Oryzias latipes: one gene and its partners. The protein of the gene in region 4 interacts with the protein of the main gene of each other region in a biochemical or structural test. Links are inferred from orthologs where the notes say so. Each region holds a gene or a part of one and is shown on either strand. Other genes may lie near its edges.

What was found.
Region 1: the proteins of raf1 (region 4) and phb form a complex in vitro, tested with the Homo sapiens proteins (2 studies listed by BioGRID). The link is inferred for Oryzias latipes from reciprocal best matches to the Homo sapiens genes RAF1 and PHB1.
Region 2: the proteins of raf1 (region 4) and pebp1 form a complex in vitro, tested with the Homo sapiens proteins (3 studies listed by BioGRID and IntAct, with this or other methods). The link is inferred for Oryzias latipes from reciprocal best matches to the Homo sapiens genes RAF1 and PEBP1.
Region 3: of the proteins of raf1 (region 4) and stub1, one has a biochemical effect on the other in vitro, tested with the Homo sapiens proteins (4 studies listed by BioGRID, with this or other methods). The link is inferred for Oryzias latipes from reciprocal best matches to the Homo sapiens genes RAF1 and STUB1.
Region 5: the proteins of raf1 (region 4) and cdc37 form a complex in vitro, tested with the Homo sapiens proteins (2 studies listed by BioGRID, with this or other methods). The link is inferred for Oryzias latipes from reciprocal best matches to the Homo sapiens genes RAF1 and CDC37.
Region 6: the proteins of raf1 (region 4) and bag1 form a complex in vitro, tested with the Homo sapiens proteins (2 studies listed by BioGRID). The link is inferred for Oryzias latipes from reciprocal best matches to the Homo sapiens genes RAF1 and BAG1.
Region 7: of the proteins of raf1 (region 4) and bad, one has a biochemical effect on the other in vitro, tested with the Homo sapiens proteins (2 studies listed by BioGRID). The link is inferred for Oryzias latipes from reciprocal best matches to the Homo sapiens genes RAF1 and BAD.

What each region holds. Positions count from the first base shown.
Region 1 is NC_019866.2:5,517,482-5,521,666, reverse strand, and holds the start of phb (prohibitin), read left to right. Parts: upstream 1-1,307; 5' UTR 1,308-1,346; coding exon 1,347-1,421; intron 1,422-1,933; coding exon 1,934-2,027; intron 2,028-3,645; coding exon 3,646-3,807; intron 3,808-4,185. Other genes in the region: uncharacterized protein LOC105354523, read right to left, coding at 361-402.
Region 2 is NC_019867.2:3,465,796-3,468,947, reverse strand, and holds pebp1 (phosphatidylethanolamine-binding protein 1), read right to left. Parts: upstream 1,699-3,152; 5' UTR 1,625-1,698; coding exon 1,490-1,624; intron 1,352-1,489; coding exon 1,242-1,351; intron 1,152-1,241; coding exon 1,051-1,151; intron 966-1,050; coding exon 748-965; 3' UTR 663-747; downstream 1-662.
Region 3 is NC_019877.2:8,954,514-8,958,930, forward strand, and holds the start of stub1 (E3 ubiquitin-protein ligase CHIP), read right to left. Parts: upstream 2,849-4,417; 5' UTR 2,578-2,848; intron 2,026-2,577; 5' UTR 1,909-2,025; coding exon 1,795-1,908; intron 1,702-1,794; coding exon 1,503-1,701; intron 1-1,502. UniProt on the Homo sapiens protein: E3 ubiquitin-protein ligase which targets misfolded chaperone substrates towards proteasomal degradation.
Region 4 is NC_019865.2:17,676,031-17,680,458, forward strand, and holds the start of raf1 (RAF proto-oncogene serine/threonine-protein kinase), read left to right. Parts: upstream 1-1,603; 5' UTR 1,604-2,236; intron 2,237-2,537; exon of another isoform or gene 2,538-2,620; intron 2,621-2,695; exon of another isoform or gene 2,696-2,720; intron 2,721-2,764; exon of another isoform or gene 2,765-3,281; intron 3,282-4,428. UniProt on the Homo sapiens protein: Serine/threonine-protein kinase that acts as a regulatory link between the membrane-associated Ras GTPases and the MAPK/ERK cascade, and this critical regulatory link functions as a switch determining cell fate decisions including proliferation, differentiation, apoptosis, survival and oncogenic transformation.
Region 5 is NC_019866.2:8,382,922-8,387,281, reverse strand, and holds the start of cdc37 (hsp90 co-chaperone Cdc37), read left to right. Parts: upstream 1-1,416; 5' UTR 1,417-1,575; intron 1,576-1,656; 5' UTR 1,657-1,657; coding exon 1,658-1,765; intron 1,766-1,955; coding exon 1,956-2,231; intron 2,232-2,388; coding exon 2,389-2,494; intron 2,495-2,580; coding exon 2,581-2,696; intron 2,697-2,836; coding exon 2,837-2,959; intron 2,960-3,207; coding exon 3,208-3,390; intron 3,391-3,472; coding exon 3,473-3,544; intron 3,545-3,643; coding exon 3,644-3,769; 3' UTR 3,770-4,360. Other genes in the region: cmc4 (cx9C motif-containing protein 4), read left to right, coding at 77-134, 214-356. UniProt on the Homo sapiens protein: Co-chaperone that binds to numerous kinases and promotes their interaction with the Hsp90 complex, resulting in stabilization and promotion of their activity. Inhibits HSP90AA1 ATPase activity.
Region 6 is NC_019875.2:29,408,016-29,412,346, forward strand, and holds bag1 (BAG family molecular chaperone regulator 1), read left to right. Parts: upstream 1-1,495; 5' UTR 1,496-1,589; coding exon 1,590-1,626; intron 1,627-2,138; coding exon 2,139-2,267; intron 2,268-2,559; coding exon 2,560-2,642; intron 2,643-2,713; coding exon 2,714-2,827; intron 2,828-2,910; coding exon 2,911-3,018; intron 3,019-3,105; coding exon 3,106-3,168; intron 3,169-3,254; coding exon 3,255-3,344; 3' UTR 3,345-3,843; downstream 3,844-4,331. UniProt on the Homo sapiens protein: Co-chaperone for HSP70 and HSC70 chaperone proteins. Acts as a nucleotide-exchange factor (NEF) promoting the release of ADP from the HSP70 and HSC70 proteins thereby triggering client/substrate protein release.
Region 7 is NC_019876.2:12,866,379-12,870,796, forward strand, and holds the start of bad (bcl2-associated agonist of cell death), read left to right. Parts: upstream 1-1,494; 5' UTR 1,495-1,669; intron 1,670-1,997; 5' UTR 1,998-2,005; coding exon 2,006-2,153; intron 2,154-4,151; coding exon 4,152-4,366; intron 4,367-4,418. UniProt on the Homo sapiens protein: Promotes cell death. Successfully competes for the binding to Bcl-X(L), Bcl-2 and Bcl-W, thereby affecting the level of heterodimerization of these proteins with BAX. Can reverse the death repressor activity of Bcl-X(L), but not that of Bcl-2.

The DNA of each region.
Region 1 (4,185 bases), on a different chromosome or scaffold from region 4:
TTATGTACATTAATATAAATAAGAAAACAGCAGTGATAAACATATCCACTCTTACATCCATAAACACTGACATCAAGTTGTTTACAAATCTGCCCAATCCCCAAATGTATTTCATTTTATTTATTTTTTCTTCAAATGTTTAGATATATACCCTTTTCTACTTTCCAGTAAAAGTTTTAATACAAAACTGCACGATCGTGTAGGAAAAACGACAGAGGAAGTCATACTGTCTGCTGCAGGGTCGAGAGTTAAGGAAGTAAATAAATCAAAACGATCGTCGTCTGTCGCAAAACCAGCGACCAAAAAAAAAAAGGTGAAGAAATGAACCGTGAATTTCAATGAGATGCTTTCGTTACCGACCTTACAAATGCTCCACGATCGGTAGTCTTCTTTCGCTAACATTTAAAGATGGTCATTCTTTTCCTCACAGCGTAAGCCTTACGCCGTAAGGAAAGTGAAACTGATTACGTGCAGTGCCGTTTTTGTCCGATAGGGGGCGACACAAGGCTATATGAACGTGTGTGTGTGTGTTTGTTTGTGTGTGTGTGCAAGTGACTTCGACGTTTCAATGAACGTCCCAGGGAGATAAAAAAAAGAAAATGTGTGAGTTCATTTATTATTTAATTTTACAATAGGCTGGCTATAAACAATATATTTTTTAAATAAATATGATATTGTTTTGCTGGACTTTGTCTTATTACACTTTCTTAAAACTTTTGTGTTGGTAATAAAACATAAAAAAACTTCCTTTTACTCAAACAATATTGTAATAGTCAGTATGGCAACCAAACTTTTAAAACAATGTTTCACGATTTTAAAAAGGTTTTGAAACATTTTAAATATTGAAAGTTAAAGCTTTGGAGAAAAATTTAAACAAGAAATACACTTGTGTCAAAATGTAGAAAGTCTTGAGTCTGTATCAGTTCTTAATGGGGTGTGCTCATATGATGCTTTTCTGAACAACTGTACATGCATTTTCTTAAATGTTTAAATTTTTTTAATTGGCTAAAATGTTATTTGACACAAGTATCATGTGACAATAAATGATAATGAACGTTAACTATATTTAGATTTATTTTAACTAATTTTCCCTTATTAATGCTGTATAACTTAATTATACTTCCATTCCTAACTTGAAATGTTTAAGGATTTGAGGAAGTACATTTATTGCCATCCATCCATCCATCCATTGTTCCCTCTAGTATTGTTGTACTGTTAAGTTTAAATATACCAGTAGGTGACGCTGTCAGTATGTTTCCACTAACAGTCTACCAGCATTGAAGATTCGTAGAAGAAGATTGACATGTTTTTGTCCAATCAGCGGCTTTGTTGCAACATTCTTGCGCATGCGCCGTAGAACAGGCATCCCTTGTGCTCTACGTCGTGTCCGGTGGAGGTCACAGGCATCCAAGAAAGCTAAGGTGAGTTATGTGATACAGCACGATTAAGCCTCGGACAACTTTTGAGATTTTTCCCTAAACATTACTTTGCACATTTTTAGGCAGTGCTACGGAGTTGTTTCAAGCATAGCTTTTATAAATAAACATGTTTGGTAGACGGAACAGCCCTGCTCAAATCCATCATGCATGCCCAACGTAAGCTAGCTTGCGTACTGAGGCACCACTAGATTGTTTGATAAAAGCCTTTTTGCCGCACTTTTATGTAAACATTAACGTGCCAAACTCAATTTTATCTGTTGCAACCATACGCTGAACCGATCACTGCGAAACTCATGTTAGCTTCTGAGCTAACCCTAGCCACCATCTCTGCCGCTTTGACATCATTCAAGGCCACATACGCAACCGTTACTGGATAGAAACTATTAAAACACCCACTTTCTACTGACAGTTAAGGCTTGGATGACTTGTGTTAGTCTGTACTGAAGTTGTTTTCTTGTTAACGTGTGTGATGACCTCGTTTTCATCGCTTCCAGGTTTCTGCCATGGCTAAATTATTTGAGTCCATTGGAAAGTTGGGTCTGGCTCTCGCCATTGGAGGAGGCGTTGTGAATTCTGCACTTTATAATGGTGAGTCTAAAAAAGAAAAAAACGAGTCATTTAAAGAAAGAGGGTTCTGGTTCACTCTATATTGGTAAAATAGCTCTCAATTTGCTTGTTGTCTTTTGTTTTTAGGAGTTTGAAATCCCTGGTTACTTGTTTAAACCCATTAAATCCCGCCAATATGGTATTGACACTAGAAACAAGTTATTGTTAACTTTGTAGCCCCATGTAAAAAAATAACTCCAGAATAACACAATGGGTTTTATGCAGTCTCTCCACAATAACTCATATTTAAAATGACATAATTAAGGAAAATGTTTATTGTTTACTTGACTGACACCGGTGGAGGATGTTGCATTAACACCATGCTGCACTGTTGACCTGTGAAGGGGACATAAATGTATTGCATTAATGATCTTTAAAAAAATACTTGAAAAATACAAAACTTAATGAGAAGCTTTGTAAGCAGTAGGTCCACATAGGCCCATTGTTTCTGTTTGAAAGGTCCATGACTAATTCCTTTACATTTATTAATAATTTCTTAATCTTTGTTTTAGTTATATTTAATTATAGATTTACAATAAACAGAAAACTATAGAAAAATCATTAAACCTTTAAAATACTAAAAAAAAAAAACATATGATAGTGCTTGTTTCTTTACACTGGAGAGGAAACAAATTTTTTTTCACACTATACAAATTCTTAAATTGGTTTTATCTAATGTTTTTATTCTTATTTTAGTAAAAAAGTAGTTTTCTAATGCAGACTTAAATGCAGCCAAGGTTGAATCTGCATCTCTGACACTGTTGCTAAGAAAGCTAAATCTCTGCTAATCTTAAGCTGAAATTTAAGAGGAACTAAAAGTAAGTAATCGCTGGATGCTGGCACCTTAAACCACCTAACCCTTTAATAGCTTTAGAAACAAATACAATCTTTAGGTCAATCCAAAGACTAACTGGAAGTCGGGCTAGAAAAGTGGAGATGTGGCTTTGTTTAAGGGATTCAATGACACATCAAGCAAACAAATGTTTAGTCCCACTGCAGGTAAAAAAGTGTCATGACTAACACCCATTATAGAGCATCACAACAGTATAAACAAGTGCTAGTAAACGCCTGCAAAGTCTAAGAAAGCTTTAAAGGGCTTATTCTTTAAAGTAGCCTTACGTGGAAAAAGCTCACTCCAGCAACCGATATAACATATTTGTCCTAATTAATGTCATAGTCAATTTTACATCTTTGATTGTCACAAATTCAGCTTTATTTACAAAACACTGAGGTCTCCACTGGGTCAAAAGGATGACTTTGAACCACAGAGTTACTGAGGACCATCTAAATATCACAAAAGTTTTACTTTCTTTAGCCAGGATGACCACCTTCAATTATTGAATTGTCCTTATTTGAAATAAATCCATCTATTTTGTTTTTGCATTATAAAAATGTGTTCTTTGTTTAGTCATAATTATTCTGTTAATTAAATTTTGTCAACATTGTGTATTAAACTTATAATATGCACTGATAATCTACCAGTGCATAATTCTGACCATATATTGGCCTCTAATAGCAGTTCTTTGTCTAAAACTAAAAGGAGCCCTTCCTGCTAAAATGTAATCATGTTTGAAATGACTGACTGTTGGTTTGTTTGTAGTTGATGCAGGGCACCGGGCTGTAATATTTGACCGGTTCAGAGGAGTGCAGGACATTGTGGTTGGAGAAGGAACTCACTTTCTCATTCCCTGGGTTCAGAAGCCGGTCATCTTTGATTGCCGCTCACGTCCACGCAATGTGCCCGTCATCACAGGCAGCAAAGGTACAAGTTCTTGTTTAATTTGTCATGTTGTGTTCACACTGAATGCAATTGACCCAGTTTTAATGTTAAGTCAACGTAAAGACATAATGTGAAGTCATGTGCTGCTTGAAGCGCAGTGCTCTCACGGCACAATTTTTCTAGAGTTCAAATATCTGAACTTTGGCAAAGCTTTGCATCACATAATCAGGAAGTCAGCTTTAATAGTTACATGTTGAATATGTGAGCAGCGGCTGGTGTCCAAAACCAACATGGAAGAAATCTAATTGTTGCAATCACTTCTTTAGGAAACATCGTATTCTTATTTGTATCAAGACAAAAATATTCAAAAAAGATCCTCTGATTTTATTCCTATTTTTCCCTCCTCTGGACAGCAAGTCA
Region 2 (3,152 bases), on a different chromosome or scaffold from region 4:
ATCGTCTTGTATATTGCTTTGATTCGTGTACTCATTTTTCACAATAATCAGGGGGGGGGGAGTGAAAGCAATTAATGAACGCCACTTCTGCGACATCGCCACGCTAACGCTGCTAAAAATCTACCTTTAATTTCAATGGGTTGGTTCCCCCCCATGAGGCTTTGGGTTAGGAAGTAATGGATCCAAAAAGAGTTTAATTTGTAGGTAGGCCTAAATTTTTAATTTAAGATGGCAGCCTCTTCCAGGGGTCAAAGGTCAACAAAACGTGCTTATGGCATGTCACATCACTCAAACTAAAGTTCTCTTTTCCTATATAAATGCGAAAATCACCAAATTTCACACTTTACCACAAAGGGCTGCCAAGCCATAGGTCATGTGGCCATCCCATAATTTCAAAACTTGCTTTGGATATCCCTGCATTAGTGGTTTTTTAATATAATTTCTTTCGGCCCCATAAGACGTTTTGGCCACATTAATTCTTTTGTATGGTTTCTCTCGCTTTGATGTCCCTCTTTTTTATTTTTTTTACTTTGGGCCCCCAAAATGAACAAGGTGGGGGTCAGATTTTGGTGAGTTTTTTTGTCCAAAGGTGCAGTTAGAAAGATCTGGTTTTTGCCGTCCTGCAGGGCAGAATAATCTTCTTAAAGAGATAACGACTCAAAGAAAGTGGGTGTTTGGATTTATTGCAGGCGACTTTGATGAAGCGTTTTGCTTTACAGCTTTTTATATTGGACCTTCGTGGTGTTTCTACTTTCCGGCCAGCTGTTCGTACAGTTTGGGGACGTAGTCGTCCCACTCGGCCTGGTAGCAGGTTCCCGCCACCGGAGCGTCCAGGTTGTATTTCTGCCTGAAGGTCTGGATCTTGAACTTTCCTCGGCCGTCTCCGGAGCGGTTGGTGAGGACCTTCTCGGAGCAGGACAGGCTGCCGGGCTGCTCGTACACCAGCCACACGTACCTGTGCAGACCTGAGGAGGAAAGACAAAAAAAGAACCACCTCAGTGGAGGACGGCCTCCGATCTGCATGAATGCATCCACCTGCTGCGGTCCCACCTGTGCCTTTAGGGGGTCCAGAGCCCACGTAGTCTGACAGGACGCAGCCGGAGGACACGTCGTTGCCCTTCATGTTCACCACCAAGAAGTGATGCCACTCCCTGTTTTTTTTATATATATTTTAATGCAAAATTACGATTGTGGCCTTAAAAATATGTCAGTTTTAACGTGAAAAGTTCAAAAAGCTTCACCTAAATTTGGGGTCTTTCCTGCTGGGAGCATCCGGGTCGGTCAAAGCCAAAGTGTACAGTTTACTCGGGTCACATCCGTCCCACTCCACGCTGGTGGGTCTATTCTGCACCTAAACACGAGTTCAGAGGTCAGTGTCCGAGAGGGGGCGCTGTTTCACCGCTGCAGACCCGCTGCAAGCTGACTGTGACCCAGTTTGAGGTTTCCAGGCGTTCCCCCCCAAACTAGCGTTAGCTGCTAGCTCACGCACCTGCGTGGGAGTGAACACTTTCCCGAGCTCGTCGATCTCCAGAGAACCGTACTTCACCACCAGAGGCACCGCGGGCTTCTCCTCCACCTCCTGCAGGGCCAGAGCCCCGGACCACTGGCTCAGATCGATGGGCATTTCGCGGCGTTCCTCTCTGCGTCTGAGGCGCGCGCTGCACACAGGAGAAAGCCCTAAAAGTGATGCGTTCAAGTACCACACGGACAAACCAATTTAAGATACGAATGCACTTCATAACGTGTTCGACAAAACACGAAATAACCAACAGTATCTCCTAAGAAGATTGAATAAATTAATGTACACTTTTCTGGTGTGTGTGTTGGGGGGGGGGGGGGGGGGGGCTGCAAACACTGGCTTTTAATGTTTAAGTTGAACTGTATTATTTATTAAGACGACATGCACATTTCTGATACTTATCATCTAAAGATTGTATTTTTATAACATAAGAAATCAGTCACCGTTTTTAATACTCAAATATCTTAGATTTCTTAATTTAATTGTAGATTTTTACATACAATTCATGGCAGTGATGAGTTGTAATTTCCTAACACGGATTTTTCCTACATTTTCTGTGCATTTGAACGCAATACAATGTCAAATCCAACTGTGACCGCCAGAGGGCGCAGTCGAGTCACGGCAGCTTGATTCTTGATTTGCTTCAAGAATTGTCAATCAGTGTGCTGTTCCTCCTGGTGTCCTCCCCCAGGGTTTAAACACCACCCCCACTCCACGTGCTCCTTTCACTTTCTCTGATTTAGTTCCAAGTTGATTTCTTTAAAACGGATACAAAGCCGGTTTCTGCTGTGGTTACAGTTAGAATAAAAACTATTTATTACCAGGCTAATGTAATCCAGTCCTATTTGGAAGAAAATGAAATTAATTGACTATTTCTCAAACTGTTATTCTAAAAAAAAACAAAAAAGGTTAAACAACATCCACCTGCTCCATTCCAATTAGTGCTATATTATAAATAATCTCATTGCTGTGTAATAATTCAAGTTGGATGATTTAATTATTAATACGCCAGAATTTTGTCCCTCACAGACCCCTTACTTCTTCATTTAGAAGTCTTTCCATCTTCCACTATTAATGTCACCTGTTTGAAATGGTTACCTGTATAAAAGACACCTGTCCACACCTTTAAACAGTCCACTGTGACCAATATGCCAAAGAGCTGTCAAAGGATACCGGGAACTAGATTGGACAACTGAAAGACTGAAAAGACTAGGATGAACTAATGAGCGAGCAGCTTGGTGAGAAGAGATCAACTGTTGGAGCAAAATGAAATACAAAAACACTGAGGATGTCCCTTCACCGGGAGCTCCATGAAAGATCTCACCTGGTGGAGTCTAAAAGATCATGAAAACGGTGAGGAAACGGACTGTCATCTCCAGACCTGCTCCTCATGAGCCACCGCCCCGCTTGTTTTGCCCCAAACCGCGATTCAGTAATTCCCGATTAACGGGATTAAGTGAGCCCAATTTCTGATTGGCCGAACACACCGGATCCAAGTAATTACTGATGCAGGGCTAACTGCAAAACAATCAGGGCAGGGTTGGAGACCACTGGACTAGAACAACGGGGGGGAACTGGTCAATGACCTGAAAAGAGCTGGAACCACAGTAACTAAGGTTACTGATGGTAATGT
Region 3 (4,417 bases), on a different chromosome or scaffold from region 4:
TTTCCATTAGAACAGATATAAATCCAGATCTTAACCAAAACAGCAAACAATAGGATTCACTTTAGACAGAGATCATCTGCCCATTTTTTAACACTTGACACGGCACAGAGACAAACAAGACCAATGTAAGAATTGTATGTTTGCAGGCGTGTGTAACAGCGTAGTGAGACAATAAACATGTAATTCTGCTCTTAATCACTACAAAAGTTATCTGTGCTGAATCCAAACCCAAAACTGCAGCAAGACAAATAAATCACAATATGATCAAAACCCAAGCACGCACGCACACACACACACACACACAAACATACATTTATACACACAAATTAAATGGTAAACGGCATATAATTGATTGAAATATGTCGAGCATTGATTTATTGTAACGTTGAAGATAATTAATCTAAATAATAGAATGTGTCAGAATATTAGCTTTTATCATCAAAATAATAGAAAAAGATGTTTACAACCTAAATGTTCAAATGCCTTCATTTCTATCACTTAGCTTGGTTAGGGCTCCTCTATGTGAATCACTGCATCAATGCACTGAGGATATGAAGCGTGTGGCTCTATGTAGAAGTAATGGAGGTTTCTATGTGCTGCCTTCACATTATCTGCATTATTGAGTCTGGTGTCTCATCTTCCTCCAAACAAGAGACAATAGATTCATAATAGGGTTCAGGTCAGGGGAATGTGCTATCAGCCACAGTAATACTATTAATTGAACCAGCTTTTGGTTCTTTTGGCAGAGTGGGCGGGCCCCATGTCCTGCAGGAAAATTGAATCTGCAGCTCCAATGAGCTCAACACCAAAAGGCAGCATGAAGTGCTACAGAACTTTGTGTAGACTTCAAAAAAACATGGACCTACATCATCCCTGACTGTGGAAGCTTCACAAGACCCTTCAGGCAACATCGGGTCTGTGCGTCTCCAAATGAAATACAACCTTTACTTTTGGACCACTAAGCATCTGTCTGGTTCTTTTCTAATGAGCCCAGGTAAAAAACAAAAAACAAAAAAAAACGTCTAACTCTGATGATGGTGAAATAAATCAGAATTTTGCATGGATTTTCTCTGTTGAAAGTCTTTTTTCTTTCCACTCTATTTTCTGTTAATATGCTTGGACAGATTAACTACCATGATTGCATATGGACTTACATTTGTCTGATACATTTGAAGGTTCAGGAAACCTTTGCAAAAATAATCCGTTACAGTTTTTGATACTTTTTATTTTGTCATTTTCTTCTTAATGTACCTAAAGTTGATGAAATGCTCTGGTTTTAAGGTAAATGCATTGATTTGTAACTGCTGGTGCCTTTAAGAACATGTGCAAGTTTGATTTTCTCATCCCCACAGAAAATTCTTTTTTGTTAGAATCCCACAATAAAAGCACAAGTGAACTGATCCATCTTCAACACCTAAAGGTTGTGATCCTTTGTTCTGGTGTTATGATTAAGAAAACCCGACACGAACGGCTAGGAGAGAAAAATCAAACTAGTTTCTGACCTTTTTGCAAATTGCCGATTGCCTCATCGTAGTTCTCCAGCTCCAGGTGACACTGGCCCAGGAAGAAGTGGGCTTTAACAGACTGACTATCCAGCTCCAGTGCATGCTTACAATCTGTCAGAGCCTTGTCATACTGCTGCAGCTTCACGTGGCAGAGGGCCCTGTTGGTGTAGTATACTGCCACTGATGGATTGCGGTTCTGGAAGACACAATGGGGAAAATAAAGAGTATTTACGCGCAAACTGTTTAGTCTTCGCCATTAGTGTTTGGATGAGAAATCCCAGACGCTTACAATAGCTTTACTATAGCAAGAGGCAGCATCCTGGTACTTGCGGCAGAGGAAAAGCCGGTTCCCCTGCTCCTTGAACTCCTGCGCGGTGGAACTCTTCTCCGGGCTGCCGGCCATCTTCTCCACCGGCTCCGCGGGGCCCGCTTCGCCCTGTTTCCCTATCCTGTTCCCCGTCTCTTCGGCTGGCTAGACAACAGGTTTTCAGAACGTCCCGTCCGGCTTGGATCTCACACACTAAAACACAGGCGCGTGCTGAGTTAGCGATGCACCTGCAATGCGCTGCTTCTTCAACGATCTCTCGGCGCAACGCTGCTGCTTGGTGCCGCTCAGAATGCATTCATTCGGGTTTGCTGACAGTGCACGCCGCTGAAAATCACAGCTAGACTGCCGGCGAATTAACTATTCACATTCGGAAATCGATGGCCATCAGCGAGCACAGCTATTTAAAAAAAATCCAGAACCATTAATTTACACATCCACTCAGGTTTCGAGTAAAAACACCAGATACAAGATAATATATTTAAGTTAACGAAAAATTGTATATTATTGTTACACGACAAGAAACACAAAAATAAGATTGCTAACTTACAAACAAACAGAGGAGGAGAATCGATGCTATGCTAAAATTAGCTAAGCTTTTATCTTGAAATTATTTTGTTTGGGGACATAGTACAGCTTTTGTGTCTCTAATCAATTTTATTGACATTTAATTTAGGGTAGATTCTGGTGAATTGAAGCAGAGGATAGTAAAACCATAACTACTTGTTCAAGGATTTCAATATTTACCACAACGCAGCTCGGTTTCTTCAAAAAACATAAACTAGCTAGTGCTAGCTTAGCCTTTTTGCATTACAGTTGCTTCACGTCCGTTTCAGTTTGTTGGAGGCTTAAATAAAGTTTTACATAGTACCCACCCTTACCTTTAATCAGAAATTTTACATTCAGCTCAAACAGATTTAATTTAGTTTGATATAAAATCGTTACGGATTATTTTTACCACCCGTACGAACTGTCAAGACGGAATGTTGTGGTGCTGACGTCAAACGCTTTACGCTCTAACAACGGAAGCCGAGAGCACACGAATCCTGATGGGAGTTTGCGCAGAGGTTATCTTCAAGTATCATAACAATGTAAAGTTTCTGTGCTCATTTCTGTAAAAGTACTGTGGGAACAAACCCTCATCTGTATTGGGACTGCTCTCATAATTTGGCTTTATAGAATGCCAGCCCTTTATCTTTAATCCTAAATTAATCATAGAGGGTCATTGGAGCTGTGAGAAGAGCATGCAAACAACGTGAAACAGGGGCCTTCTATATGTGAGAAGACCCTGGTATCAGTGCTAGTGGTTAGAACTAACATAGCTGACTACTGATACAAGTAACCACACCTTATCTCTGAGTGATGGTTAGTTGTATAGAAAATAGGTACTGACCTTACATTACGTTAGACAAAATACTATAACAACACCCTATCAAATAAAAGTGTTTGTTTATATCTGATTCGAAATTATTAGTAAAATAATTGATATTAATGGAAATAATTTATTATTATTATTTTGTCTTCCTTAAACTTCTGTTATTGCACTAATCCAAAAGCATTGAAGATGATAAATCTGTTCTATTTGATTTGGTGCTTTTTATGTCTTTACTCATTTTTCACTTTTTATATTAGCTTGATGCCAAATTTTAACATGAGACTTTGCTTATGTTAAGAGAAGCATAAAAATTCATTTTTTTTCTGTATCGCTTTGTCCCTTTCGGGGTCACGGGGCTGCCGGAGCCTATCTCGGCTACTTTGGCGTAGGCAGGGGATGCCCTGGACAGGTCGCCAGTCTGTCCAGGGCAGACTGCGTTTTTTATGCTTTTATGCTGCTGTAAGCATAAAAATGTAATTGAAAAAAAAAAACGTATATATTTTTTAACATTCAGAAAAGTATTTTTTTCTCAAATATGGTTTGAAAATGAAATGAAGCCACACCTAAATATTTCCTGTTATTTTTATGCATCTTTACAATCACTCATTTAAATCTGAATAAGCAAAAATATGAGAGCAAGAAATGGAAAGATGGGTTTACCTGAGGTTGTTTGAGACGTTTATACAAATCTGAAATGTGTAAAGAGGAGTTATTTTAAAAAATATGATCAGAAATATTTGCATTTTTTGCAGTTGAACTACCAATTTTACACACCAAGATACAGAAAAAGACAACTGGGTGGTTTCTCATTGCACTTGTAAAAGATCAGCACAGGAAATCTAGTGTATTGGCCAGAAGATGGCATCATCGGGCTACTCGTTTTTTTAAATGTGAGTCAAATCTTTAATGTAATCTGTTATTAAGTAGTTTAGTACAATATTATGAATTACCATTGCATCACTGTGTTATGTAGTGACTCTAATAAAGATATGTGCCAAATAAAGATGTGTGCCAAAATAAATTTGATGATACATTTATACTTATTCTGGATTCAGTTGACAAATGTAAACATTTTTAAATCATCAAAGGGATTTTTCAGCAACGGTTATAATATTAAAAACATTTTTTATGAATCAGTTTTCTTGAGACATCCAACTCACAAAGAAACTGCAGATAACATTTTGGTCTTTGCAGTCCGTCATGTTTGACAGT
Region 4 (4,428 bases):
CTTTGAAAAGAAGAAATACAAATCCTAACTTGAGATATTGGCTGGTTTTATTTTAAGCCAAACGCCATTAGAGGCCGGAGGATGGCCATGCCGTGGGTAACTTTATGTCCAGGGGCCAGCACGCCGCATCGTGTTTTGATTTAATGCCTTCAAACTCAACCAAATTGATGGGGCGTTTTGCAAACAGTGAAACGCTTTATGCTGTTTTAAATACCTTGTGGGGGGTTTCGTGTGTAAATTGCCCAACACAGAACATGTGGCTCTGAAGCGTTTAGGCGCTCACAGCAACAGAAATGCCAGAGGTTGAGGCAGCATGAGCGTCGGCCTAGTCACGTTGATTTTTCTGCGCACTCGCGAGACCGTTGCTGGCTAGCGCACGCGAGCTCAGCTAACCACCTCATGACCAAGAAACGCGGTTCAGTCGACGATCAATCATCGCTGCCCAGTAAAAGGATGCCGATCCGGGGTTATTATCGATAGTTCCTTGCGCTAAGTGTTTTTCCAGGAGTATCAGATTCAATATTGCGTATAAACGAAATTTCCCGCCAGGGCGCACTCACCAAAGTCGTTGTGATGTGCTAACGTTAGCAGGCCGGACTACGAAGCCGATGCTGAGTTAGTGAGAGCAAACAAATTGACAGTAAGCCGTATTCACAACAAAATTAATCAAACGTCTACGCTGGTTGACATTTTGATTCATAAATACAAATGTTGCAAAAGACCTTTAACACCAAACGGTTATAATATCGCAAAGCCGTTTTATTGCTTACCTTTATGGCTACCTAGCTATGTCACTGTTTACGCCTCCTCCTCTGCGCTGCATGCGGTGCAGGCAGGAGTTCCTGAATTGTCATTCACAGTATCCAGTAAAAACTCGCCCTCTGATTGGCTACGTGCTCGCCAAGTAACCAATCACAGACCAAGAAGCCTGGACACCGCCCCTCCAAATAGGCTAATCGTTGAGATGAGACGGTCCATATTTTTCCCTCCTCCGCTAAATTAGTCGTTTTCTCTTCGCTTCATTTCAGACATCTAAAACATCTGGAAGTGCGAGTACCGCCCGTATGCTAGGAAGAACACCAAACATGGCAGCACTTTAAAGTTTAAGAGAAACATAATACAATTGAAGCCAAGCTAAATTCATGTTAAAATTAAGGGGGAAACTCTTTATGTAATTAACACATTTTTAATGTCAACCAATCTGGTTTTGGATCTACATTCATGCAATTTGGAAATTGCATGGAGGTTTGATTTTTAGTGGCTGAATTAAAAAAAATATTTTAACACTTTTTCATTAAAAAAAATTAAAATACATGAGAAATGTGAAAGTAAATAACTGAATAACTCCGATTTTAATAGACTGTAAACAACAGCTGTATTACAATTATCTTTATTCCAAATAAGCCAAATTTAAAGAAATAAAGTAAAAAGACAGATCCTTAAGCTGTTTACTGGAATTAAACTAATAATGGGTCAATTCAACCTATAGTTTATGTCATTGTTTGTTTGTAAAACAATAAACTTTAATATTTCATCAGTCTTCTATTTATTTTTGAGTATTGAAAGGTACACATGTCATAGGAGCTGAAAACATCTCAGCTAACTGTCCTGAGTGCTCTCCTAGATCAATACGTGGAAGAGACGCTTTCACCAGTCTTAAGGTGGATTTGGATGGAAAGCTTTCGTCGTTTGATTTGTCTAATATCTCATTTTTGCATCCTATTAAATCTGATCATGTCTAATAACTTGTAATGGATCGATCTGGATTGTGTAAAATGATGGATTTTATTCAGCGTCACTAAAAACAGAGTTGTGGTTCTGCATATGGGCTGGAGCACCTTAAAAGCCAGCCCCATGACAAAGCCCTGCCCCATCCTCACTGGAACACTGTTTAGTATTTCTGTGTTTCAGTTACTTCTGAGATTGGGTTAGAAAAGCCTGCTGTCGGAGAAGATGGGTGAAATGTGAAGTTACGGATAGTTACAGATGAAAAGTGTTTATTGGGAAAGTATAGAATAAACCTACAGCTTTGTGGCTTTATTGTCTTGGTAAAACTGTGCAAAGAGCTGCTCATGGAGATATCCAGCGCTCAGGACACAACACACTGCCTGGTATGATGATAAAACTCCTTCATTGCTTTGGAGGATACTGGAGCCATCTGGGATAAGGGGACCTCGGAGGATCCTTTCAGGCCAGGACGTCACAGAGATGATGATCACATGGTGAGATAAGTTTGGTATGTTTTCAGAATGATACTGCTTTAAGAATAAATGGACATTACTTGCCAGAAATTATTATGGTTAAAGATCTTACAAAGGTAGAACAAGTAATGACGTGGTTCTTTTGTTCTACTTGGCTAAAATACCAGTTTGTATTGTGATTATTTATATTACATGGCTTCACATTGTGGTTTATTGATATTTTTAGACCAAATATGTCAGTTTTGGCTCAGATTTACTACAAAGAAGCAGATAAATTTCAGGGTTGCAATAACCCGTCTGTGCCACCAGGTGGCGCGCTTGGAAATGTAATGAAATACTTATTAGCCATGAGCGTAAACCAATGAAGACCTCCGGTGTAAGTCCATTAGCTTTTTGCGTTTTCTGAAAGATTTGCAAACGTAAGTAAACATAAATGCGCTTTTGAAGCAAAATAGCCTAAACGAACACTTACTGGGGGATAAGAATGGACGAAATCCGGTGTAAAATATGACTTCACAGGTCTGTATTACAGACAAAACTGTTTCTTTTCAATTATTTACGAATAAAGCCGAAGAAGTGGGAGGACTTCGGCTGGTCCTCCAGCTGCGCAGTCAGCGTGAGCGATGCTTGCAGGTCTTGTTTTGACTGCAAGGTCTAGTTTCAATCCGTGGCGTCGGGCGGACGCACGCCTTCAAATCTAAACAATGTAAATAATGGAGCACTTGCAGAAACTAATGGAGGTTCGACTTTAAAGGTGAATTAAAAAAAATCTCAGTACAGTCTGACTTTTTATGCGAACAACATTTTTGTTCCAATTTAACCACCGGGAGACGAGGAAGAAGGAAAGTTTTCCGTGAAAGAGACTCGCCTGTGACCTTTATATGAATGCAACATTCTCCGGACGCAGAGGATTATTCGACACAACCGAACCGGCGGATACACGTCTCCCCCCGTTTCAGCAGTCCTGACGTTCTCTCCATCTTTTCTTTGAATGCGTTGCAAAAAAAAAATCCTGATGATGTCACCGACGCCACTTTTTCCTGAAGTTATGGCGGAGCCCAAGTTTTTGAACTTCTCTTGGTGAGCACGTACTGGCTGCAGCTTGCAGCATGTCTTGCTTGTGTTTGCTAGCTCGCGCGAGGAGTTAATTTACTTCCACGGAGCGCACGCGGACACAAAAATGGACTCTCGAAACGAAGGGAAACCGAGTACTAGGATAGCTTTGGACTTCACTTATTGGCGAAACGGTTCGCCTCTGAGGGCCTTCAGACTCTAACTGTTGTAACAGGAACTATAAGGCCTCACATAACATCACCGTTACCCACTGGTAGAGTTGCCATGTTAGACACGGTCTTCGTTTAATTCAGCTTTTATTTGTTAATGCTCTGCTACCTTAACACGTTCCCATACGTCATCAAACAGTGCTACGCTGCTGATAAAGTTTTTATCCACACTTCAAACTCAGGGTTTGGAGCTGATTGTTTTCATTGGAGTTTGAGTGGCGTAACCGCCTATAAAATTAAATATGGGGACTGTATTTCACCCCCAAAGTTAAATACTGTCTTGTGGATGGATAAAAGCTCTTGTCCTGCAGAGTACAGTTAAAAAAAAAAACTTTTCTGCATATTAATCATGGCTCCCGTGACAGCTAGCCAGTACTACTTTACAGTAAATATTGCCCTCGGAGACTGCACGTTTTGGGGTAAAACACAATAGAGGTAACTGGAAAAGGGGTTTTTTTTTTTGGGAGGGAGGGTGAAAGTAAACCGGGAAAAACACTACCTGTATGTGTGTATCTATATTTACAACATAAGGCCACAGTGTGCACTAGAAACAAAGCAGAGGGTTCGGTTGTGATGGTTCATCCCAAGCTGTGAACACTGACTCCAGTTATTTTTAGCTCTGCTTATTATGTGTGTGGTTTTAAATGGTACACAAATCCTGATTGTTATCATCATTCCTATATTTCAGGTCAAACATTGAACGTATATTTAGTTCAATTGTTGTCGTTGCACGTTGTGCAATTGGTTCATTTGTCTCAGATTTTGTGTTACATTAGCCAAAATGTCCTTAATTTTGTTGTAATACTGTTTTAACGGCTGCTGCAGCCCCCTCTGAAAGGGCCCTAGTCTTAGTTTAATCTGGTGAGGGCATACCTAGTGAGATTATATTTAGAGATGACCTCAATTCCAATTTTTGACATCTAAATAAAATGTTTTCCGCCTTA
Region 5 (4,360 bases), on a different chromosome or scaffold from region 4:
CAATAAGTAAAGTTTAAGATTCTGCCCATGTTTTATTCATATCATTGTTTTCATTCTCACATGTTTTCCTTTAGATATGCCACAGAAAGATCCGTGTCAAAAGCAAGCATGTGCCATTCAAACGTGTTTACAAGGTACACATTGACGTTGTTGTTGTGCTCTTCTAATGCAAATCTCAAACAAATTTGTGAACTTTTTGTTCTCATCTCACAGCTAACAAGTATGTGGAAAGTAAATGCGAGGATGTGATCCGAGAGATGCAGCGGTGCTGTGCAGCGCAAACTGGAAACTCCGTCTGCTGCTCAGGTTTCAAAGACTCCAAACTGACAAACTTCAAACCGAGCAAAAATAGCTGACACCACCTGCTGATGACTTGCATTCAATGGAAATAAAAAGTATATAAAATTGTCTAGTTCATCTTCTTTTCTCTGTTAGATTGAACATTTTCTAGCTATTTTATTCAAACGTGTTGTCACAGGTTATGATCGCAACACCGGCGATGAAGAAAAAAGGAAAACATTCACAAACTGATCTTGTTTTCCTTTCTTAGAACTTGAACTTTTCCTTCTTGGGAACGGACAAACTAAATTATCATCTATCAGTCTGGAGCACACATCTATATCTGAAACATAACTATATAAAAATCATATCTGGCCATTTATATCAAGAACGAAAAATAGCAGTAAGCAAATGAATATCATACTCTTAGTTTACCATATTACGTAGGTACATTTTCTAAATCTTATATGTAAAAATAATAATCTTCTAATATGTGTTCAGATCAGCATTCTAATTTATTCTTAATTCGCCTTGAAAAATGTAATCATTCGGGTCATGGTGCTTTTCTTTCTTTTTTATATTTAAATATAATTTCCCTTTTCTTTAATTTTTATTGAACAATTGCAACATACAGAACAAAGAAATGCAACAATTATGCACAGATAATGTACATTACAATTCTGAATACAGAATAAACGTGTTACATGCTTAAGAAGATTCTAATTATTTCTAACAATCACAAAAGGGAATAAAAAATTAAAATAAATAAAGAAAATAGAACTAAACATAGAAAAAAAATGATAAAATAAAAAGAGAAAATGCGAGAGTAAACTTGTGTTATTATTCCAAAAGATTTACAAATGTTAATTGTTTTTTGAGCTTTTGTGTTTTTTGAAGCTGAAATTAAGTTTAAATATTGCTGCAGTTCCAGTTTTAACACAAATAAATCAGTTTTTTATAGGAGAATTTGCTTTTATGAATATCAAATTTAGCCATAAATAACAACATGTTTATACAAAAGAAAGCATCACAGTCTTTCAGATTAAAACTATGAAAACCAAATATTTTCCGTTTTTGGTCATTGTTTCCGGTGTCTAAATTACGACGTACAATGTACGCGCCTTACGTATGACGTAAACGGAAGCTTTGGGGAGAATTTCTTCTAGAACTCTGTAGCAGCTTCCCGTTAGCTCTTGCTTGGGAGTAACAAATCAATTCGCACGACCAAATTTGGAGTACAGAAACACAGAGCACCAACACACATTTCTGAAGGGTTCGAGTGTGAATATTTCTTAGGTCGGTATTTTAGCGAGCGTGATTTAGACGCCAACTTAACCGAGTTCTAGTCGAAGCTAGCGCTGCTTCTTCTTGCTGCAGGATGTCCAGGATAGATTACAGCGTGTGGGATCACATTGAGGTATCGGATGATGAAGATGATACCCACCCAAATATTGACACTCCCAGTCTCTTCAGATGGAGACACCAGGTAAATATAAAAGCTTTTCGGAAAAGTGCTTAGCGTGATCGTTAGCTTTCACTTTCTGCTTGTAATTCTTCAGCCATGCTAATTTTCCTACTTACTTCGGATTCCTGAATTTGAACTCAAACTGGACAAGAGCTGATGAGTATTTGAAATTGTTTACACATGATGTTCACGCGTGTGATCTGTTCCTTAGGCGCGCGTGGAGCGAATGGAAGAATTCCAGAAGAAAGGCGAAGACCTAAAAAAAGGACTCGCCGAATGTCGGCGTAAACTCACGGAGTTACAGACAAAGATCCAGGACCTGAACCTTTCCGATGGTGTCAAAACAGAGCTCACCAAATACCAAGCCGATGAGAAGAAGCTGAAAAAAGAGGAGCGGGACTGGGAGAAAAAGCTGGATGAGTACTACAGGGAGGAGAAGAAGATGCCGTGGAACGTGGACACACTCAGCAAGGAAGGGTTCAGCAAGGTGACTTCTATATGCAGATAGAAACCTGTGGTTTTCTAGCAAGAGGTTGGAAAATCCAATGAAGCTCACATTAGTCCGTTGACATTTTATAAACAAAGTAGTTATTTCAAATCAATGCTAGATGGTGTCAAATCTTGATCTTTGTTCTCGCTTATAGAGCATAGTGAACATAAAACCTGAAACTTCGGAAGATACGGAAGAAGAAAAGGAGAAAAAACACAAAACATTTGTTGAAAAACACGAGAAGCAGATTAAACATTTCGGTAAGCCTGAGTAACTTCCATAAGGTCATTCTGTTGTCTTTTCCCTTCTTTAAAAACAATTTAAGTCTATTTTTATTAACTTACAGGGATGTTGCGACGATGGGACGACAGCCAAAAGTATCTCTCTGACAATCCTCATCTTGTATGTGAAGAAACCGCTAACTATCTCGTCATCATGTGCATTGATCTGGAAGTTGAGGAGGTAAACACATATACTTATATTTTTATTTTATATTCTTGTATCTTTGTTTTTTAGCATATCTTCTCCTCAAAGTGTGTGCTCCTGTTTGCAGCTGTTTAGGTTTTTCATTTCTTAGTAAAGCTTTGCTTTCCTATTTGCAGAAACACGCACTGATGGAGCAGGTGGCCCATCAGACCATTGTCATGCAGTTCATTCTTGAGTTGGCAAAAAGCCTCAAAGTGGATCCCCGCGGTTGCTTCCGTCAGTTTTTTGCAAAGATTAAAGTAAGCAAGTTTATTTAATTTTATTGTGTTTAATTGCTCTGAACTTATTCATTTTAAAGAAGATGTTTGGGCAGGAAAAGAAAGGGTGCTTTCATAAACAAGCAGTACAAAAATCAAAGGCAGTCTGTCTGTTATTCCTGGACTAAAACAGATTATTTTAAAAGTCCTTTTTTTTTTACCAGAAGTTTCTGTAAAATTTTATACTTCTGGTTTGGAATGTTCACATTTGTTCATTTGTTTTCTTACAGACCGCAGATCAGCAATACCAAGATGCTTTTAACGACGAGCTTGAGGCGTTTAAAGAACGGGTGAGAGGAAGAGCAAAGATTCGCATAGAAAAGGCCCTGAAAGAATACGAGGAAGAGGAGCGGCAGAAGCGGTTGGGGCCTGGAGGCCTGGATCCAGTTGAAGTGTATGAGTCGCTGCCTGCTGTAAGTGCATTCTAACAAGCAGGGTTTCATTTTTTGTCTCTATTGAGTTTGAAATGCTCACATAGTTTGCCTTCAACCACAGGAAATGCAGAAATGCTTTGATGAGAAGGACATCCAAATGTTACAAGAAGTCATCAGTAAAATGGATCCAACTGTAAGCTATACAGTTTTGTCTGGTTGAATCTTTTTGGATTTAGGTGCTTTTTTTTTTTTTAAGAAATCCCTGTTAACATGTGACTGTCGTGTCTTTTAGGAGGCAAAACATCATATGAAGCGTTGCATTGACTCAGGTCTGTGGGTCCCCAACTCTGGGGAAGGAAAGGAGGAAGAAGGGACCTATGAAGAGGTGAAACGGGAGCCGGAAGAAACAAAGGAGTGATCACAATGGATTTGTTGTTTGCAATTGTATTCACTTACTGTACCCCAGTCTCATTTAATGTAAAACAGCTTGCCAATAAACACCATCATTTCTTTAAACTTTTTGAGTACAAATTTGAATTATAAATGTGTAATAAGTCACATATTTGAAACAACAAAAACAAACTGTGTTTCTGCATCGCCTGAGCTGAATGTTTTTCCTTCATTTGTTATGCTTTGTTGGTATTGGTGCATAGTTGCAAGCTTAAGTCTAACATTGTCACATTTTTTTGCAACAGATATTTTATGTGACATTTGTACAACATTCACCGTTAAGTTCCAATGTTTTGATTTTTTTTTTTTCTTTCCTCCGGGTCTTTTACATTATTCAGGACAACAAAAACATTGACTTGTGCTCAAATAATCATTCAAACTGCTTGATTGATGAGCTTTATAGAACAGCTGGTAAATGAGGTTTCTAAGAAAAATAGTAAGGGTTACTGCTGTCAACTCCAGGCCAACGACAGTTGATCATGTTCGGTTCTGTTTATCCTAAATGAACCCAAAGATTTAGCTTTGGCTTCTTACTCAGTGGTAATCTAAAGATGGAAAA
Region 6 (4,331 bases), on a different chromosome or scaffold from region 4:
TACTAAACAAAAAAGGCATATCAAACAAGAGCTCGGCTTTCATTTTGTTCATTTGATGTTTTTTTTGTTGGTATTAGGCTGGATGGCTCAGTTGGTTTAGAGTCTCGGGAGAAACCGGTTTTCAGTCCTGGGGGGTGCAATCATAGACTACAATGAGCCTCGTTCGGCGTGGGTCTTTGGGCTAGACCCTCTATCCTAGTGTCAAACTGTGTAGCCACAAGGGGTTGCACGTCTAGTATAATAAATATTTACTATTTTTACAAAGAGTAAGTAGTAATTTCCTGCAGTAGATCTCCATCCACTATAGTAAACAGTGAGTTACTATTTGCAAATAGAGTTAAAAACTGAGCGCACGCCGTTTCTTTAAACCAAAAGAACATGGACTGGACATTGTTTCCCACAATGCATTTCATTTTTGTAGTTAAATTGGACGTGTAAGGGCATATACATATATAGAAAACAAAATACCTTGTCTCTAGAGTCTAGAGGGACTCGAACTTACAATCTTTGAATCTCTTGTCAACGATTTATTTAGACATCCACTCTGCAAAAGCTGCTTGTTGATAGAGTTCAAGCTCGCTAATTCTTGGAATTGATTTCCAATCAAATCACACATTTTTGCTGATGGGGTTACCTGTTGCAGGTGCTAAAGGTATTTTTCATTTGGTGGTTTATACTAGATGTCCTCCGTTGTAGGTAAACCAGCTGTGTTTTTCCGCTAATGGAAACGTGTAGTAAAATAACAAGTAAATCCCCTTTAATCTAACAATTAAAAAGTTATTTATGTGTGTTCATCTTTTAAATCAACAGTCAGATTTTTTAATATTGTCAATACATCTGTATTTTTCACATAAATAATTTATTTTATGTTATTCTGCTGTAGTACATTAAATAGACCATTATGATGTTTTAATGTGCAAAATCTCCAAAGTTTAATTTAGTGTATATTTCCGTTAGTAACAAATGTCATATACTATTAGGCATGCATATTTCACACATGGCAGAAGAGATCATGAAAGCCACGAGGCCGACATAAAACCTCCAAAATCGCACACGTTCCAAGCGGGGCTCGAACTTGCAACTTCAGGGTGTGTGTTATGAAAGTTGGAAACTTTATATCGACTTACGGGCGCTGTCCTTTTCCCACAATGCATCACGTGTTTGTAGTTAACGCAGTATTTGAGGCGCATAAACTGTAAAAGTAAAAAAGTGCGACTCTGGTGGGACTCGAACCCACAACCTTTGAATCTCTTTTGATCGATTTAGCTAGAAGTCCAATGCGCTATCCATTGCGCCACAGAGCCGGTTGGTCGAGTCAAGGTCTGCATAGAAAGCAAAATTTTCAACATTCGTGACTGACTGTCGGCGTTGGAAAGTTTAAGGATCAAACATTCAAACAGAAAAACACGCTTCGACATTATTTTTTAAATCTGTCTCTATATATTTATACGTATGTATATGGATAAAAAGGACCTTTTGAAATGCAGCGGAAAATCAGTCCGTCATTTCCGGTGCTGACCGGAAGTAGTTAGCTGTTAGCGGAGATAGCCGGGTGACTTGTGTTGAGGTTGAAGAACAAACACAAAGACATGTCTGATCAAACGATAAACCTGATAGTCAACTACGGTAAGAAAACGTTTTGAATTTTAAACAAACGGAGACTGAAGCGGCTCCGAGTCTTAGATGTGACTGTAGCTCAGAAATCCTTTGCTTGTTGTTGTGTAGCCCAAACGCAAAAACCGGTTCTAGGAAAAACTTCTGCTGATCATGATGTGAAATGAACTATTTACTGTTAGGCATTGAATGTCTCAGCAAACTGCTTTACCTGTCTGCTCAAAATTCGAATTATGTTCATTTTTAATTGTGGATTCATAACAAATATAACGTGTCATCAAATGCTAAAAATAGCAGAAAAAAGGTTCAAATCAAAAGACTAATGAGGATCAGACTCTACAAATGGGTTTGATTATAATAAACTTTCAAGAAGTCTCACTTCATTACAGATTTTAAATGAAATAAATTGTAATTGATTAATTTTTGTTGGCTTCACAACTGAGGTTTGGCGATATGAATTCACACAAACCTGTTTTATTTATGTTCACAACGTTATGACAACTGCATGAATGTCTGTTGATCAGGTTCAGTAAAACACAACATCAAACTAACGAGTCCAGATGACGGCAACGGGCCGGCAGTGAAGGATTTATCAGAAGCTGTCTGTCAGGCCACCGGCGTTCCCCCCGCCTCTCAAAAACTCATCTTCAAAGGTTTGGGTTTGACCTACATTCTTTTTTTTTTTTTTTTTTGAATGCATCCCATAATTAGGCCTTGACTCCATGTCGCGGCATTGTGATAGTTTCTGAAAACGAAGATCTAAAGTGATCAACCAGCTGAGCGTTGTTGCAGTGTCGTGGTGATGCAGACAAAAACGGTTGTCGTGGTTACCAGTTTCTTTAATTTGCTAAAAACTATACATAAGGAAGACCAAATCTTTATTTCTGTATTTTCTTTGACTTGGTGCGTCTGCAATTTTTTGCTAACATATTCTTCTTTCTTCAGGGAAGTCTCTGAAAGAGATGGACGAGAGGCTTTCCACCTACGGGATCAAAGACGGCTGCAAACTCATGATGATCGGGAAACGGGTAAGACGCTCGGGCGCCGCCCCTGATTGAGTTGGCGTGCGCACATCCCACTGACAACGCTGTACAAACAGAACAGTCCGGAGGAAGAAGCTGAGCTGAAGAAGCTGAAAGACATTGAGAAGTCGGTGGAAGTGACCGCCAAGAAGCTGGAGAAGGTGGACGGGGAGTTGACGGGACTGAAGAACGTGAGCCACAGATCCTGGAGGGAGAAAAGCATCGTCAGATGGGTCGTTTCTTTGAGGTTTCACCTCTTTTCTTTGCTCTGCAGGGCTTCTTGGCCAAAGACCTCCAAGCTGAGGCTTTGAGCAAACTTGACCAGAGAGTTAAAGTTGCTGCTGAGCAGTTCATGAAGATTCTGGAGCAGATAGACGCCATAGTAATCTCTTTTTGGATTGAGCTTTTTATCCCTCGAGTGTTGGTCATTTCTAACACACTCCTCTCTCTCTCTCTCTTTCCTCTAAAGTCTGTCCCGGAGAATTTTAACGACTTCAGAGTGAAGAAAAGGGGCCTCATAAAAACCGTGCAGGTTAGCCAGTAGGTTTCTTTTTTTCTGCTTTTACTGACGACGCTAAAAAAAATTGACTCCTATTTTTCTGTTTTTCGTGGCCTCAGGACTTCCTGGCCCAGTGCGACAGGCTGGAGGCGGGTATATCAGACCACCTATCAAAGACCCAGTCCAAGAACTTGGCTCTGGCAGACTGAAGCTGCTTCCCTTACTGTGTGCTATCTGTTGCTCTGTGAGCAAAGTGTACCAACGGCTTCAGATGTGGAGCAGATTTTATTTATTTCTCGGTGTGATGTGCTTCATAACGAAAGGAGACTTTGCTGAGATCATGAGGGTCAGCCGTAGGTGAAGATGCGTCTCAGACTCAGACATGGACTGGAGCGTCGGTGGTGCTTTGATGTTTACCGTAGATCAAATCCTCCGTCTGTCCTGTGGCGTTTTCCTCCCATCGGCCTTCAGCTGTTCCTCTCGGTCGCCGCCAGCCTGATCCACAGAAGTAAGTGAACCCTCTTTAGATGTTTCCACCACGTCAACTTGAAGAGGTTTGTGAATTTACAGAGTTGTATTTTTGTTATAAAAAAAGGAGAAAGTCAAATTAGGCAAATCACATCATCATCAACTGACTTCTACTGTACATGTTCATCAAAATCACGACGACTGCAGAAAAATGAATAAATTTTAAGCCAAAAAGACAGATCTCCAATGTTTGGACGTTTATTTCTGAAGTCCCGCTCCCATCATCTTCTGATCGATTTTCCCAGCATTCCTTAATGATGATGCCATTTTTAGCCAAAATCAGAGTAAGCCAGCCCCCACTTCCCATCGCCCATCCTTTTATACAGTGAGCTTAATGGAAAGACCCACTCTGGGGAAACTGGTGTGTTTCTTTAACCTCTTCTTGGGGCATTTTTCTGATGATGGAGGACAAATATTTAAAAGAAATTCAGCTTAAATTGCAAATCTGAGGATTTCTTTATTCAACTTGTTGTGAATCAGGAGCAGGCGAAAAAAAATGACGCTTGAAATCAACCCAAGAGACCCTGTGATCGCAAGGTCATCCGCTCTGGAACACGGCGCCAAGTCATCCACCGTTCGCTCCAGGAGTTCCATCCTTAGATCTTTTTGATCGATGATGGCCTTTGGCTCCTGGGTCTCTTCTTCCACAAGGTGTTTTCAGATGTTTT
Region 7 (4,418 bases), on a different chromosome or scaffold from region 4:
AACTCAATGTATGACATCAGGTTACCTTGTGGATTAATCAGCTGTGTCACAAGAGAAATGTTCTTTTCAAACTAATTTTCAAGACAAATACTCTTGTTTTTGTATAGAATATCTGCATTGTTCCAAATATAGTAGCGCTGAGTAGAAAAATTATGTTTGTAGATCAAAGTCTATGCCAATAAAACCTGCTTATGAAAATTAGACAGTTTTAAAGGATTTTTTTCCATTATTAAATTACATAATAAAATAAATGGCAGACCTCCAAGCTTATCAAATATGTATTTTTATATGAAATTCTAAAATGAGGTTTCACTTTTTAAGAAGTTTTTTTAACCATTTCATTTTGATGACATTACTTAGAATGGAAAAGTTAAGAAAGTCAAGTCCTCCGTCTTTTGATGAATTAATTACTACTGATTATCGTACATAGTGGATTCTATTTCTCCAAAGGAAGTTAAAAAGTATCTGATCAATCCTTTTTGCATTTTTACCCTCTTCCCTTCTCTACTTCTGTACCTGTCCCAAGCCCGGTTGCTTTGAGAGGGTTGCGTCAGGAAGGGCATCCGGCGTAAAACATTGCCAAGACTACCATGCGAATCTTCCACTGTGAAGTGGCTGATTCGCTGTGGCGACCCCTGATGGGACAAGCCGAAAGTGAAACAACTGTCCAGAGATAGTGAGGAAACAATGTAGACTAGTCTGGAAATTCCTTCTGCTTTTGCTAAGAGGACGTGACCTTTTTGTAGCCAGCGATTAAACTTATTTTGTGCTTTTGCAATCATAGGATTATAGTTATTCAGTTCTCTTTGTTTTTGTTCTTTAGTTATCTGCAATCCCAAATATGTGACTTTTTCTTTGACTACTATACTATTTATGGATGTTAGAGCACATTGTTTAAGAGGAAATAACTCACATTTCTTTAGGTTTAGATAGGTCCTGATGCTTTTGAAAATGTTTCTATAACTTGAAGAAACCTGTGAGGAGTTTAAGAATAATGATTCATCTGCCAGTTGACTTACAAGAATGTTTTTACCAGCAATAGAAATCCCATCAATATTCTCAATTTTATTTATCTGCAGAAAACGTGTGCAACCAGAAGAAACAGGTATACAGAGACAGTACACCCCTGTTTTATTCCTCTCCGAAGACAGAATCTGCGACTCGAGTAGTGCCAGCACTCAACTTGTGACGTCGTGAGTTTTGGCAGAAAAAAAGGGGGAGGGGTGAAAATGAGGAGCTTTTTGGTTCTGCGCTTCTTCTCTGGTCATTACGGTAACCAGACCAGACAAACAAGTCCTAGCTCGCAACAGTGACGTCAGCGCGCTGCGAAAGTGCAGGGGCGCGCGGCGATTGGGCGAAAGCGGAGCAGGGGTGTAATGTGCCGCGGGCAGAGAACACCAAAACATTAACAACAAGCAGTTTCTGCCGCTCGAAGCTAACTTCGGAGACTCTTTCCCACCTCCGGAGCGGACGCCGCAGAGATTTCGGGTGAGAAAAACTACTTCCAGGAGGTTCTCTTTAGCTGCGCGGAAGGTGGAGGGGACCGCTTCCGCCCTGTATGAAGTTTCTTTTGTCCTCTTGCTCTTCGGTCAACAACAACACAAAACAAACGAGGCAGTGTGTCGACGAAGAGCACAGCTCGCGAGCGCGTTGAACTACGAAAAACAAAGTACGTTATAACATCTTAACGAAGCGCGTGCTGTCAAAGTTGTGTCCTTATCTCGTGGAGTTGTTATTTTTTTAATACCTTTGGACTCAACCACTGATAGGCAGCTGGGTGTGTTACAGGTAGACACATAATTCATTTAGCTAATAGACATTTTATGACTCTAGGAGTGGAAAGTTGGGCCTAGCTCAATTTCTATTTCATTTCGGCTTCAAATGTGAAAGAAAAATAGTATTTGATTTGTGATGGTCTTCGTTTAAAATGATCATCAAGCTTCTCTGGTAGTGAATTATTGGAACAACGTGTCCTCAAAACACCTTTTTTTCTGCAGATGTTACGATGGCAGCAAAGTTCACCATCTCAGACGATTCGGAGTCATCCGAGGAGGTAGAGGGAGGAAAACTTGACCTGGGAGCGGCAGCAGGAGGAGAAGGGGAGCACCTTCATGATCGACATTCCCTCACCCTGCCAGAGCTTCGACTCACAAGTAAGCAGACCAAAAGCATTATGGGAAATGAGAAGCACTTTTAAGAGTTGTTTGAGAAAATTCCAGTCTTAAGGCAGCAGGATTCGGATTTTTTGGGATCCTGAGGTGGAGCGGTTAGCTGTTTTATAGGGTCACTGTATGCAAGAACTGGACTGAGCGACCCCTCCCACCTCACGTTCCAAACAGGAAATCCCTGCTGGCTCCAAGAAGACAAAGTCTTATAGACTTCTATTGCGAAATAATCAACTATTGCTGACTCTATATGATCCTTTTTTTTAATAATTATATTTTTTTCTATAGTGCAAATTATTTCAGTTATAATCTGAGCCTTCAGATGCCTCAATAAAAGCATGTGGTTTCATGTCAAACATTTCACTGACTGATTCTCCCAAATGATAGGGCTGTAGACCTTTAACAAGCTCTCTCCTGATTGGTGAGTGGTTTCCATAGAAACTTTGACTCAGACCAATCAGAGTTTACTAACATTGTCCCACGCATTGCCAACATTTTGGCGACGACATTGACTTTGTTTCATTGGAGCTGGATGGACGGTATTTCCTCACTATACAGTGAATGGCTTGTACTTCAGTTTTTGTTAGGACCCCATATAGAAAAAGCTGTCATTGATAGGGGATGGATAATTTTCTCAAGGATAAACATTGTCTTTAATAAAGCGTTGTTGTTGTTTTTTTTATATTTATGAAATATAAATATGCAGTTTAAATTGTAGTGCCATTTAGATGACACAAAAAGAAATAGACGCTGAAGGAGAAACTAATACCTGCTGGAAGAACAAAAAGGGAACAAAACTTTTCCTAGTGGTAAGGTAATCACTGTCTCACCTAAATGTGAACACAATCAGAGATTGTGTGCAGTCAGTACAGTGTTTTCTTGTTTATCATGGAGTTACATTCTAAATATCGATAAAGTTTGATTCTTTTCATATCCAGACTTTTCTCTCTTTTTTTTAACTCTCAAATCTCAAGCCTTCGTAGAAAATAAGTCCAATATTATAGAATGAAAACAAAGATGTAACTGTGGCACAAATGAGATCCACAAGGTCTACAGCCAATCAGAACGCAGTGTGCTGTATAAAACAATACACATACTGAATTGCACTACAAAGATCCACGAAACAGTGAGACAGCGATAGATGAGCCGCGTAACAGAGTGGGATCACGACCCCAAAAACGTTAAATCTCAAGTTGAGTAGAAAGAGTTTGACTTGTTTTGTTTTGGAAGCTGCTGCTGCATGGAAACTGTCGACAGTGAGACTCTCTGGACTGTCCACACGATTCAGCTCAAACTGCGGATTCTGACGCAGAAAAAGGCAGCTTTGCACCGATCAGCAGCTCACTACTGTAAAGTTTCGCACGGCTGCTTTTCTATGCATCGGAAACAGCTGAAGTGACGTCAATTGTGCGACTGCTTAATGAATTACGGTCGTCGAAAGAGCTAAAGCAGCGGCGTTAAAGGGTTCAACGGCCTCTGGTTGGAGTCTTCTGAGGATGGAGCCGTCAGCATCTGCAGCTGTAGCCTACAATCAACAAAGTGACTAGTAACTGCAGAAAAAGTCACTATTTAACAGTTTTTGAAATGATTTAAAATGGAACAGAACCGGGTTGTCTGTGTTTGCGCACGAATCAGTGGAGCCTCACGGGACGTGGCAAACGTGGCATCAGATACTATTTGTCTGATTGTTATTTTCCTTATGTTTTTAGCTCGTACGTTTCATGGCGCAGCATCATTATATTTGACCAAAACTTTATTTTTTACATTTTTTATAAACTAACAGGCAACATAAAAAGGGGAAAATGAGGCCGAATTCCCTCACTGCTGCCTAACTCCCAATGCATTTTGGGATTGTAGATTCCCCTCATAAGTGGCAATTCAGACACAGCAGAACCCTTGAAGGGGTGTTTCCTCTGTCTTCAGGTCTCCCAGGTTACCCGTACTTTTTCAACGTTCGTTAACATTTTGTCCTTACCTGTCATAAAGGTAACGGGCGTACCAGGCTGAATTCAGAGTCCACCGCTTCCACGTACTCCAGAGATGAGGACCTCGCGCGGGAAGACGAGGCCGGAACCCCCACTGATGGGTTGGCCTTCAGGGGCAGATCCAAGTCGGCCCCTCCGGCTCTGTGGGCCGCCAAAAAGTACGGTCAGCAGCTCCGACGGATGAGCGACGAGTTTGACAGCCTGCTGGATAAAGGGGTAAGAGCGGGTGGCGAGGGGGCGGGGCGGCAGACGAGAGTCGCTTCCCGGA